2 linked regions of the Xenopus tropicalis genome follow. The protein of the gene in region 1 purifies or fractionates together with the protein of each later gene. This does not show direct contact. Links are inferred from orthologs where the notes say so. Each region holds a gene or a part of one and is shown on either strand. Other genes may lie near its edges.

What was found.
Region 2: the proteins of drg1 (region 1) and ntmt1 purify together in Homo sapiens (affinity purification with mass spectrometry; 3 studies listed by BioGRID and IntAct, counting the BioPlex papers as one, with this or other methods). This does not show direct contact. The link is inferred for Xenopus tropicalis from reciprocal best matches to the Homo sapiens genes DRG1 and NTMT1.

The regions. Positions count from the first base shown.
Region 1 is NC_030677.2:152,070,130-152,076,532, reverse strand, and holds the start of drg1 (developmentally-regulated GTP-binding protein 1), read right to left. Parts: upstream 3,540-6,403; 5' UTR 3,475-3,539; coding exon 3,433-3,474; exon of another isoform or gene 3,413-3,432; intron 3,230-3,412; coding exon 3,106-3,229; intron 1,935-3,105; coding exon 1,759-1,934; intron 961-1,758; coding exon 891-960; intron 809-890; coding exon 639-808; intron 1-638. UniProt on the Homo sapiens protein: Catalyzes the conversion of GTP to GDP through hydrolysis of the gamma-phosphate bond in GTP. Appears to have an intrinsic GTPase activity that is stimulated by ZC3H15/DFRP1 binding likely by increasing the affinity for the potassium ions.
Region 2 is NC_030684.2:22,259,242-22,264,939, forward strand, and holds the end of ntmt1 (N-terminal Xaa-Pro-Lys N-methyltransferase 1), read left to right. Parts: intron 1-428; 5' UTR 429-441; coding exon 442-603; intron 604-1,725; coding exon 1,726-1,981; intron 1,982-2,069; coding exon 2,070-2,326; 3' UTR 2,327-3,628; downstream 3,629-5,698. UniProt on the Homo sapiens protein: Distributive alpha-N-methyltransferase that methylates the N-terminus of target proteins containing the N-terminal motif [Ala/Gly/Pro/Ser]-Pro-Lys when the initiator Met is cleaved.

The sequences.
Region 1 (6,403 bases):
GAGTGATACGGAGAGGGTCATCTCACTGTGTCTGCTACTAGCATATTTAAATAACCCCCAGGTAACTCACTCAGCAGCCCTTACAGAAAGCTGCTGTGCCAAAGCAATCTTTTTAGTGGTGTAAGGATACAATTATCTTTAAAACACGCAAGAAAATTAAATGCCAAAAGTATTAAGAGGACAACTTTGACAACGTTTTCCATTTATGCCCCCTTAAATATGTTATAAGTTTGGTTAAAACACGAATAACTGAAAAATAAGTGATTGTGCCACTTTTTACAAGGTCTTGATTCATTCATTTTTTTCATTACAATTTCACTACAGGATCTTAAAGAACAAACAACTTTTCTGCTGGAGTAAACTGGGTGTTTTTAGAACAGTTAGCTGTTGAGAGGCTTTCCAGGGCTGCAAAAACATGAGGCTAACTCTCTGCATATATGCCACTAAATCATGCCTAGTATAACATGAGCCTGAGTTAATCATGGGATATTCTAACTAGCAGTTGCACAGTTTACTAGCAGTTGCTAGCATTTTTAGCATTGAAAACCATACATGCCCTTTAAAAACATCTGATTTTGTTTCTCTTCTTTCTGAGCCTCTTGGTTATTTCCCCTTTTATACCCAAGTCCTTTGCTTACTGTTGCTGTGAGGTTTATGCCACCCTTGTCTTTCTTCTTAAATCCAATGTTTGGAGGCTGCTTGTTCAATCTGATTCCAAATCCCTCCAGTTCATTCTCTATGATCTTCTTGTGTCCGAGTGGTTTCAGTACATCCAAAACAATAAGGATCAAGTTACATGTTCGTGCCACTAAACAAAACAAAAATACATCAGCAGTAAAAATGTGTCCATCGTCCTAGGAGACTCAATCCTCAAAAATTAAAGATCTTACCTGCAATCACCTGGCGACCACGGCCCTTTCCATCCTTTGCCCCTTCTATGATGCCTGGAAGATCTAGCAACTAAAAACAAAAATATACCATCTTTGGTCATTGAGCTTAATGTCTCCGCATTCAGAGCATATCCATCTCACAAATGAAAATGTCATATACTATCTCAAATGTCTCCTGTAGCTTTGGAGTCTAAAGGGCAACATTTAAAGCAAATTTGAGATTTCTTGGCAAACAACACTCTTGAAAAATGCTACAGAGCATTTCTAGGCTCACATTTATCATTTGCTGGTTACATTTTCTAAATTACACTCAAGTTTCACCATAGTGAAAATGCTTGAAAACATACTGCACAATATTTACACAGGTTTCTGTTGATTTTAGTAAAAAAAATTCAAAAAAAAATCAAGAAACTGTTGAGAATACTTCAGTGCAGAAAAAGTTCAGTTGAAATACACACTAATGTTTTGACTGGATTTTGACAGGTTTCAGCCTGCACTTTTTGAAAGAGAATAAAGGAGACAATAGAAATCTATTATTTAGAATGCTTGGGATTTTCTGGAAAAGGGATATTTCTGTATTTAAGTCTACTAATATAATTAAACATTTTTACCACCAATATGGATTCATACAGCTTAGTTTGCATCAAGAACAAGGTACAGTTTTATTATTACAGAGGATGTTAAATTATTTGCTTATAATGAAGTCTAAAAGAGATGGCCTTCCCATAATTCAGCAGTTTCTGTATAACAAGGTTTCTGGATAATGGAGTAGCCTTTATTTTTTTTTTTTTTTAAGATTTTGTATTTCAACTTAACCTCTGATAAATAAGCTGCTATTTTAATTATTTTATATAAGTAAAACAAACACCTGAATTTTTGCTCCTTTATATCGCACAACACCAGGAACTGTTGTTAAGGTGGTAAATTCATAGGCTGCCACTTCAGAATAAACTCCAGCCAAGTTACTGAGTAGTGTAGATTTCCCAACAGATGGGAACCCAACAAACCCAATTCGAGCATCTCCTGTCTTAGCAACATCAAAACCTAAGTAAGAGACACAAATCATACATGTAAACTGTCAGCACATATCAAAAATATCAGAAAAAATCATCATCCTTTGTGCTCTTGGCCATTCTAACAGCTTATATTACATGTGAGAGCAAAAAAAATATATAGTTGTAATAGTAAGAACTAAAGCCAATCACAGTCCCACAGATATTGTACCACTACTTGAAAATAGAACCATTAAAGCAGACAATTTATCTGTGAGCTCTGTGAGGGAGAACATAGGCTTGATTAGCAAAGGTATATTCAACAGTAGGTACCACAGTTGAGCTTATACAGGTTAGGATTTTTCAGTAATTTGAAGCACCATGCTTAAGTCTAGTAAATGACAACATTTACAAATAACCCAAACCAATAGGATTTTTTGCCATATCCAAAGGCCTTTTAAGATGTTTAAATGTAACTTTGAAAAAAGTCTTTTTTTTTTTTTTTTTTACTTAAAAAACACAGAAGTTGTACTCATTCATGTACATCTCCCCAACATTGCCATCTCCCCAACATTGCCAATGTGCAGATGAAGTAACATGCTTCTCAAAATCAGGAGGCTACTGGGTATCAAGGTGGTTGTTACAGGGGTTATACAAACATGTTTAATGATCTATGTCTTAGGTTCTCATGACTGACGCCCTACACCAAAACATAATAAGGTAGGTGCTGGATTCAGAAATGCTAATCATAGTGATAAACGTGGCACTGAGGAAGGAAACCAGGTTCCATATTTATGCATCTTGTTTATTTCAATAAGCCAAAAAGATAAAAAAATTATTAATAATGTACATGGAAACAGTGACTACCCAGTGTTAAAATTTTAGTAAAAGTGGAAGTTTGCCTTTAATTACCTTTTGGTATTTTATTAAGGGGCTTATTCCAAAAAGAATTCAAATGGAATTTATTATAAAATATATATATATATATACACACACACAAATGTTTTTGTTTTACTTATTATTTCTAATCTAGCCAGATTCAGCCTGCAAAAAAATACTTTCTGGTTATTGTTACTGGCCATGGCAATCAAAAAACAGATTCAACCAAGAGATTCTTATGTTCGATTATCTTTCTTTTCTGTTCTTCTTAAATCCCGATTTGCGAAACACAGCATGGTTGCCAGGGTAATTAGGCCCTGGCAACCAGATAGTAGTTGATATACCTTCTCCAGGTCCTCCTCCGCCGCCTCCTTTTGGGGTAATCAGCTCACGTCTTAGTTTGGCAAGACGAGCTTTCAGCAAACCCAGGTGATGAGCTGTGGCTTTATTTTTCTGTGTCCGGGCCATCTGCAGGACAGAAAGCAGGCGTGTCACTGTCATACCTGGCACAGGTTATTGTCATTATTGCCTTTATGTTATCATAAACCATGACTGTCCCACACAGCTGCTTCAGCCATAACCATTCATCCCAGTGATTATCCTTACACACGTGCTCTCAACTATGTCCCCAACAAGTCGATATGCGCTAACCCTCCAAGTGTCTCAGTCACCTCGGACTCTATCTCGGCGATCTTAGCCAGCGTCCCGCTCATTGTGCCTCTTGACTAGGTGGCTTTTCCAGCACGAATCAGTAACAGAAAAGACAGGACCTCGCAGGGACACCACTGCTCATGCGCAGACACAACAACCGGCAGGAATGACGTCACACACGTACGTTCGGCCTCTTCCTTTTAGCTGAGGATAGCCCTTCGTGACGCAGATTTTCCTACTCTATGGTAAAAGCTGTCTTACTGGACGTTTTGTGCGTCCAATCTGAAAGTTGCAAAAACATTATATAAAATATAGAAATGTATAAATGAGTATTTTTATAAAAGTGGTGTAACTAGTAGTTGCTGGACCTCACAGTAAATTGATTTTAGGGACCCCCCCCTAAACCTTGGGAATGAGCTATTTTTCATAAACATATACTGAAATAGAATATTTTATTTTTTTCATGCCAGTGTGGAGTCCTATACCTTAATGCAGGGGTAGGGAACCTATGGCTCGGGAGCCAGATGTGGCTCTTTTGTTGGCTGCATCTGGCTCACTGTCAAATCCTTAATAAAAAAAAATAATGGGGGGCGTGGCCTGTGCTCGGCGGATAGAAGACATGTTCTAAGCCTTAGAACATGTCTTCTATCTGCCGAGCGCAGGCCACGCCCTCCTCCACATCGCATCCGGCATCCTTGGCACCCACCCTACCTTGCCCCTGCGCTCGGCGGATAGAAGATGTGTTCTAAGCCTTAGAACACGTCTTTTCTCCGCCGAGTGCAGGCCACACCCTCCTCTGCTTCGCATCTGCATCCGGAATCCTTTGGACCCACCCTAACTTGCCCCGCAGCATCCGCGGCCAAATATATTGTATGGCTCTCACAGAATTACATTTTAAAATATGTGGTGTTTATGGCTCTCTCAGCCAAAAAGGTTCCCGACCCCTGCCTTAATGTGTCCTATAATGCATAAAAATAATAATTACAGAACGTTCAAAATATGCTGTCCGGGGGATGGGCCAGCACACCCCTGAAATTTTTTTCCAAAGACTGTAAGTGAATGATCCATGAGTGTGCGCCCCCAGAAGTGATATCATGTGCAAATGTGCAGCCAAAGCCTAAAAAATAGGTACTTGCACTTGTACAATGTATGGGGGAGTTGACAGCTCTGGAATTATGATAGCTCTTTTCATATACTATTCTAAAGTCGTGAATAATATAAATTGCATCTACCGACTTTACTATTTCTTCTAGGCTTGCCACCTGGCAAGTATTTTATCGGTGTGGTCGGTAAAAATGATGCTTAATGCCAATGTTATTAATAGGAAAAAAAGATAAAAATATAGGAAGGCCTGTATTTTTTTCCAGAAAATGTGGCAACCCTAGTTTTTACTAACTTTGTGTGTAATAGAATTACAGGTGTAGTTCCCCTATAAGTTTAGCAACTCTTCAATTGGTCTTCATTTTTTTTTTTGTTATAGTTGTTGAATCCATGCAGCTTTCAAATGGGGGTCGCTGACTCTTACTACACAGAGGGAAAGTTTATTGGTCCCTAAAAATAAATCAGTTGAAGTGAAAGGAGGATCCTTTTTAGGCAAAGATATTATTTATTTTTCAACAGAATATAGTGAGGAATTTTTGAAAAAATCGTTTATATAAATATTTCCAATTTTATATAGGGATACAAAATTGAAGCAGATCTTCACTAACACTAATGTAAAATGTATATCATATAGGGCCCCAACTCTAGGCAGTTTCCTGTCACAAAGTGTGTGTTTGAGAAAAAATAGAGTTTAAGATCTAATGTTGCCAGCTCTTGAGTTAATAAGGGTAAACCATAGTTTAACTGAATGGGCATTATTTCCCTTCCAGTTCAGTATTACCGATTTCTTTGCATGATATAGTAGGGTCGTAGACAACAATCTAGTTTTATTGAGTGGCAATAACTTCTCAATCTGGGCCAACAGACATAATTCTGGTGTTACAGTTTTATTCTTATTGTTACTTTTTATTACTAATCTTTCTAATCAGGTCCTCTTCTTTTCATATACAAGTCTCTCATTCAAACCACTTTGTGGTTGCTAAGTTAATTTGGAACCTAGCAATGAGATATCTGCTGAAACTCCAAACTGGAGAGCTCCTAAACAAAAAATTTAAATAAGAAACGATAAATAAAAAATGATGACCTACTGCAAACTGTCTTAGACTATTACTCTCTACATCAGTGCTGTCCAACTTCTGTGGTACCAAGGGCCGGAATTTTTCCGACCTACGTGGTGGAGGGCCGATAATGGAAGCCAATTTTGACCACTCCCCTTTTTGAAACCACACCCATGTTATCACATGACCATACCCATATTAATGATTGTAGTACAGCAAAAACCTGCCATTCTCTGCCTGCCCTACCCTGTCTGTGTGTGCCATACTCTGCCTTCCCTACCCTGCCTGTGTGTACCATACTCTGCCTTCCCTACCATGCCTGTGTGTGCCATACTCTGCCTTCCCTACCCTGCCTGAGTGCCTGTGTGTGCTATACTCTGCCTTCCCTACCCTGCCTGTGTGTGCCATACTCTGCCTTCCCTACCCTGCCTGTGTGTGCCATACTCTGCCTTCCCTACCCTGCCTGTGTGTGCCATACTCTGCCTTCCCTACCCTGCCTGCATGTGCCATACTTTGACTGTGTGTGCCATTATTGGCTGGTTTGTGCCATACTTGGCCTGTGTGTGCCATACTCTGCCTTCCCTACCCTGCATGTGTGTGCCATACTCTGCCTTCCCTACCCTGCCTGAGTGCCTGTGTGTGCCATACTCGGCCTGCCCTACCCTGCCTGAGTGCCTGTGTGTCTGAGGTGTGAACAGGGGAACAATGTGGGTGATTACAGCCTGAGCCTGAGGTGTGAACACTGCAGGGGATGGACAATGCAGAGATTAAAAGGTGTGAACAACACAGGGGATTACATTTTTAAACAATACAGCCTGATTACAGCCTGAAT
Region 2 (5,698 bases), on another chromosome or scaffold:
AAACAATAGGAGGACTATTGGGCAGTATGCAGTAATCTCCCCGTGTACCAGAGCCCTTAAGGGTGTGCTTACACCACTGCTGCATTGTTAGCCACTCAGTGTAAGGTTGGCCGGCGTGGAGGTCCAAACCCAGCCTGGACTTAAACTTGGTATCTATCATCTATTATCTGTCTATCTATCCACTGTATCTATCTGTCTGTCTCCGAGAGACATGGCTCTATCTGACTATCATCTATCTATCTCTTTATCATCTCTCTGTCTCTATGTGATATATTTATATTTCCCATGGTCAGAGAGACACAGCCCTATCTGTCTGTCTGTTACACTCTCTGTGGAATTTCCATATAATTAACTGTCTCATTAAACCTGTGTTTTGGGGCAAAACAGTTCATTGTATATGAAAGCAAATCCCTTCCTTCTGCTTCCAGATCCAAGTCCATAATGTCGACAGAGCTGGTGGAAGACGAGGCCCAGTTTTACTGCAAAGCCCAGAAATATTGGAAGAATGTTCCGGCTACGGTGGACGGCATGCTGGGGGGATACGGGCATATATCCAATATCGATCTCAACGGTTCCAAAAAGTTCCTCCAGAGGTTTCTGCGAGTAAGTATTCTTGGAAGCATCAGGGGTGGATATATTAAGGTTCTAGATGCTGATCCAGGCAGTCCATGTACTCTGTAACTATAATTTTATATGTACAGACATTGAGGGGTGAAACTTTCTTTACAAGGTATGAGCCAGGCAGGACCCTTACTTTGGGTTATTAAATTCAATTTATATTTAATTATTGTTTGTGGGGGCTGCTCTACTGCTTACTATAGTACCAGGCAATTGAAGTTAAGAGGGCAGGGAGAAAGGAAGGAGCAGCTATTGGCTGGCAGGGACACCTGTGCCACTTCTTTAATCCTATGTGAATAGCTGCGGGGTGTTTTTAGTAGCTCTCTGAAAGCTGATAGGTACAGGGAATAAGCGCTGCATTGGTATCTGAGGAGTTGCCTCTGTAATAGCGTGTACTCTGCTTTATCATCAAAAATATAAATGGAGCTATGGTAAAGGCTAAATTAACTAGGTATTGGGTGGCCCAATAGGCTTCTCTGTACTGTGCAGCTGTAGGGACCATTAGATAAATACCTGGTCACACTAATCCAGCTGTTTCCCAGGATGTAATGTTATGCTGTTGTGAATTAAAGCTTTAGCCGTCTGGCTGAGGATGCTGTGAGTTGTAGGTTTTAATACCAGATAGACAGTGCAAATTCTAGTCTTTATTTTGCCTTTATTGCTTGACTCATTAACAGCCAACTAGCAAGGACACTTTACCCGAGCCTCTAATTGCATATTTTTACATGCCACTTTTTATCACTGGGAAGTGCCTTCCCAATTAGCAGCCATCCTTGTGACACCCATTAAAGAAGCCCTTCCTGCCTATTCAGGCCCAGACTGGCGATCTGTGGTTTCTGACAAATGCCAGAGGGGCTGCTGACGCCATAGACAGTCACTATTTATTGGGCCCGTGGGGGGGGCTGTTTGGGCCTCTGTGTACTTGGAATGCCAGGATCTATTTTGAATGCCAGTCCAGGCCTGTACCTACTGATACGATGGAATCTGCAAGTTCTGCTTGTAAATTGCAGCATTAGTGTTGGTTTCCACTACCCACACATGATCCATAAATCCCCTCTGAGCTCAGGTTAGACCGGCATTCTCACCAACGTTATTTTCCCCAACCAGCAGGAAGGGTCAAACAAGACCGGGAACATGTACGCCCTAGACTGCGGCGCCGGCATCGGCCGGATCACCAAGCGACTGCTGCTGCCGCTCTTCAAAAAAGTAGACATGGTGGACGTGACGGACGAATTTTTGAGCAAAGCTAAGAGCTACCTTGGCGAAGAAGGCAGTAGAGTTGGGAACTATTTTTGCTGCGGCCTGCAGGAGTTTTCCCCAGAGCCAAACCGCTATGATGTCATTTGGATCCAGTGGGTAATAGGTAAGCGTGAGATGCACCTTTCCCAGCATGCACAGAGCCCAAATCCCAGTACGGTGCTTGGTGTTTGACCCCTTTTCTTTAACGGCAGGGCACCTGACAGATGAACACTTAGTGGACTTCCTAAAGAGGTGCAGTCTGGGCCTTCGGCCAAACGGCATCATTGTCATCAAGGACAACGTCACTCAGGATGTCTCCATCATGGATGACGTAGACAGCAGCATCTGCAGAGATATCGATTTAGTCAGGAAGCTCATCAAACAAGCCGGCCTCTCGCTCTTGGCCGTAGAAAGGCAGGAGAATTTTCCTGACGAAATCTACCACGTCTTTTCCTTTGCCATGAGATAAACCCTGCCCTGAGAACCATTTGTAGAGCGGTCCATCATTTTGGGAAGCTTTCTTGACTGTTCTGGTTTGCCAAAAGATGTGGCATGGCGAGACGGGGGGGGGCAGGGTTACAGCAGACGCACTGAAGCGACAGATGAAAATTTGGAACTGGGACAATTGGCAGGATATTTAATATAAAAAAGGCATGAAACTGAGATTTTCTAAAAACGGAGAAATAGTTCTGTGGAAGGGACCCTGAGCATGCGATGGATTTATGTAAAAGGAAGTGACCTACATGGGGGTAAATTGTGTGCTTTGTTCCCAAGAGGAGTACTGGGAAGTGGAAGCGCATGCCTTCATATCCGAAAATGAGTCCTGACACCTCCCAAAATGTTAAATATTTTAATAAAATTATTTTCCTTCATCCTGCCTTTTCCCTTTGGTGCTAGTTACTGGCGTCATGCAGCAGCAGCCAAACCCATCATCAATATTGGGATTACACGTGTGTGTCTGCAAACATTGCCGCTGTACAATCATCAATTAGAAGGATTTACCTATGTCTGATCAAAAGACGCTTCGAATTGTGGTTGTTTGGACCCAGGCACCCCTGGGTCCATAATGTGCGAGCATGGACCGCTATACCCTGCAGCGTGGGCACGTCGAACTCTGTGGTTGCTCAGAACGCCCAGCTCCACATCCAGTGACTTTCTGTATATAGGAGACCCTGTGGATTCTGGCAAATGCCAGAGGGGCTGCTGTAAGATGCCATAGACACTATTTATTGGACCTCTATGTAGCTGAAATGTATTACTGCAGAAGGGGTCACTGCAGCTCGTTCAGTAACTGGGAAGGCAGTTGACACAAAGGGGTAATTCACCTGTTAACTTTTAGTATGTTCTACAATAGTAAATTTGCATCAACTTTTCAATGTCTTCATTTTTTTTTAATAATTTGCTTTCCTTTTCCAACTATTGCTGTGAGATTACAATTTTATTGTTACATTTTATTACTTATCTTTCTATGGGCCCTCTGCTAATTTATATTCCTGTCTCATTAATTTGGACCCTAGCAACCATAGAGCCACTCAAATTTCAAACTGGAGAGCTGCTGAACAAAAAAGGATAAATAATAAAAAAAAACAAATAATAAAAAATGAAGACCATTTACAAATTGTTTTGGAATGTCACTCTCAGCATACTAAAAAGTTAACAACCCCTCTAAAAAGATGTTTTATTCAAACAAGTCCTATGCGTGTGTCTAACAACCATCTTATCTCTCTAACCCCCACTCCTGTGTTGGGTTTTATAAACCAGCCATATTTCATTGGTGTAGTTGTGATTCTTCTTTACCCAGTAGATGGTGCTCCTGGTTTCAGTAGGGTCAAAATAGGATTACAAATAAGTATACAAAGGAATAAGAAGACAGGGGGTGCGTTGTGAAAGATGTTTATTAGAATAAATCAGGTTTTCCTTTGCTTTTGGGGTGGTGCAGGCAAAGGAGAACTGAGTACACATTCTAACCCAACCTTGTGAATGTGCTAGATTCGCAAAGTCACAAATTAACCCAAGGCAGAACACTCTTTGGGAATGGGCATTTAGGGACCAGGGCATTTGTCTCTGCTTTGCAGAAACTCAGTTCTATGTAAAAGGAAAAATTGGTAAACAAAATTAAAGGGATTACATACGGTCTGGCTTTAGTAACATAGTAACATAGTAAGTTGGGTTGAAAAAAGACATACGTCCATCAAGTTCAACCATAATGCCTATACCTAACCTGCCTAACTACAAGTTGATCCAGAGGAAGGCAAAAAACCCCATCTGAAGCCTCTCTAATTTGCCTCAGAGGGGAAAAAATTCCTTCCTGACTCCAAGATGGCAATCGGACCAGTCCCTGTATCAACTTGTACTAAGAGCTATCTCCCATAACCGTGTATTCCCTCACTTGCTAAGAATCCATCCAGCCCCTTCTTAAAGCTATATAATGTATCAGCCAGTACGACTGATTCGGGGAGGGAATTCCACAACTTCACAGCTCTCACTGTAAAAAATCCTTTCCGAATATTTAAATGGAACCTCCCTTCTTCTAAACGGAGTGGGTGCCCTCGTGTCCGTTGGAAGGACCTACTGGTAAATAAAACATTAGAGAGGTTATTATATGATCCCCTTATATATTTATACATAGTTATCATGTCACCTCTTAAGCGCCTCTTCTCCAGTGTAAACAGACCCAACTTGGCCAGTCTTTCTTCATAACCGAGACTTTCCATACCCTTTACCAGCTTAGTTGCCCTTCTCTGGACCCTCTCTAGCTCAATAATGTCCCGTTTGAGCACTGGAGACCAAAACTGAACAGCATATTCTAGATGGGGCCTTACCAGTGCTCTGTAAAGGGGAAGAATAACCCCCTCCTCCCGTGAATCTATACCCCTTTTAATACAGCTCAGAACCTTGTTTGCCCTTGCAGCTGCTGCCTGGCATTGCTTGCTACAGCCAAGTTTATTATCTACAAGGACTCCAAGATCCTTCTCCATTATGGATTTGCCTAGTGCAGTCCCATTAAGGTTATACGGGGCTTGCATATTTTTACATCCCAGGTGCATGACCTTACATTTATCCACATTAAATCTCATCTGCCACTTAGCTGCCCAGATTGCCAGTTGGTCAAGATCCTGCTGCAGGGATGTCACATCCTGGATAGAATTGACTGGTCTGCAGAGTTTTGTGTCATCTGCAAACACTGATACATTACTCATAATACCCTCCCCTAAGTCATTTATGAACAAATTAAACAAAAGTGGACCCAGTACAGAACCCTGAGGGACCCCACTGAGAACCTTACTCCAAGTAGAGAATGTGCCATTAACAACCACCCTCTGTACCCGATCCTGTAGCCAGTTTTCTATCCATGTGCAAACGACTTCACTAAGACCAATAGACCTTAGCTTAGAAAGCAGTCGTTTGTGGGGAACGGTATCAAATGCTTTGGCAAAATCCAAATAGATTATATCTACTGCATCCCCACTGTCCAGCTTCTTACTTACCTCATCATAAAAAGCAATTAAATTGGTCTGACATGACCTGTCCTTCATAAAGCCATGCTGATTACTGCTCATAATGCCATTCTCCACTACATAATTTTGAATGTGATCCCTTAACAAGCCTTCAAATAACTTGCCCACCACGGATGTCAAACTTACAGGCCTATAATTGCCAGGCTGAGATCTTATTCCCTTTTTAAATATGGGAGTGACATTCGCCTTCTTCCAATCACTAGGTACCATACCTGATGAAAGAGAGTCTGAGAATATCAGAAACAAGGGCCACTGCAATTCTGCCCCTAGCTCTCTCAGTACCCGAGGGTGTATTCCATCTGGCCCAGGTGCCTTGTTTACAT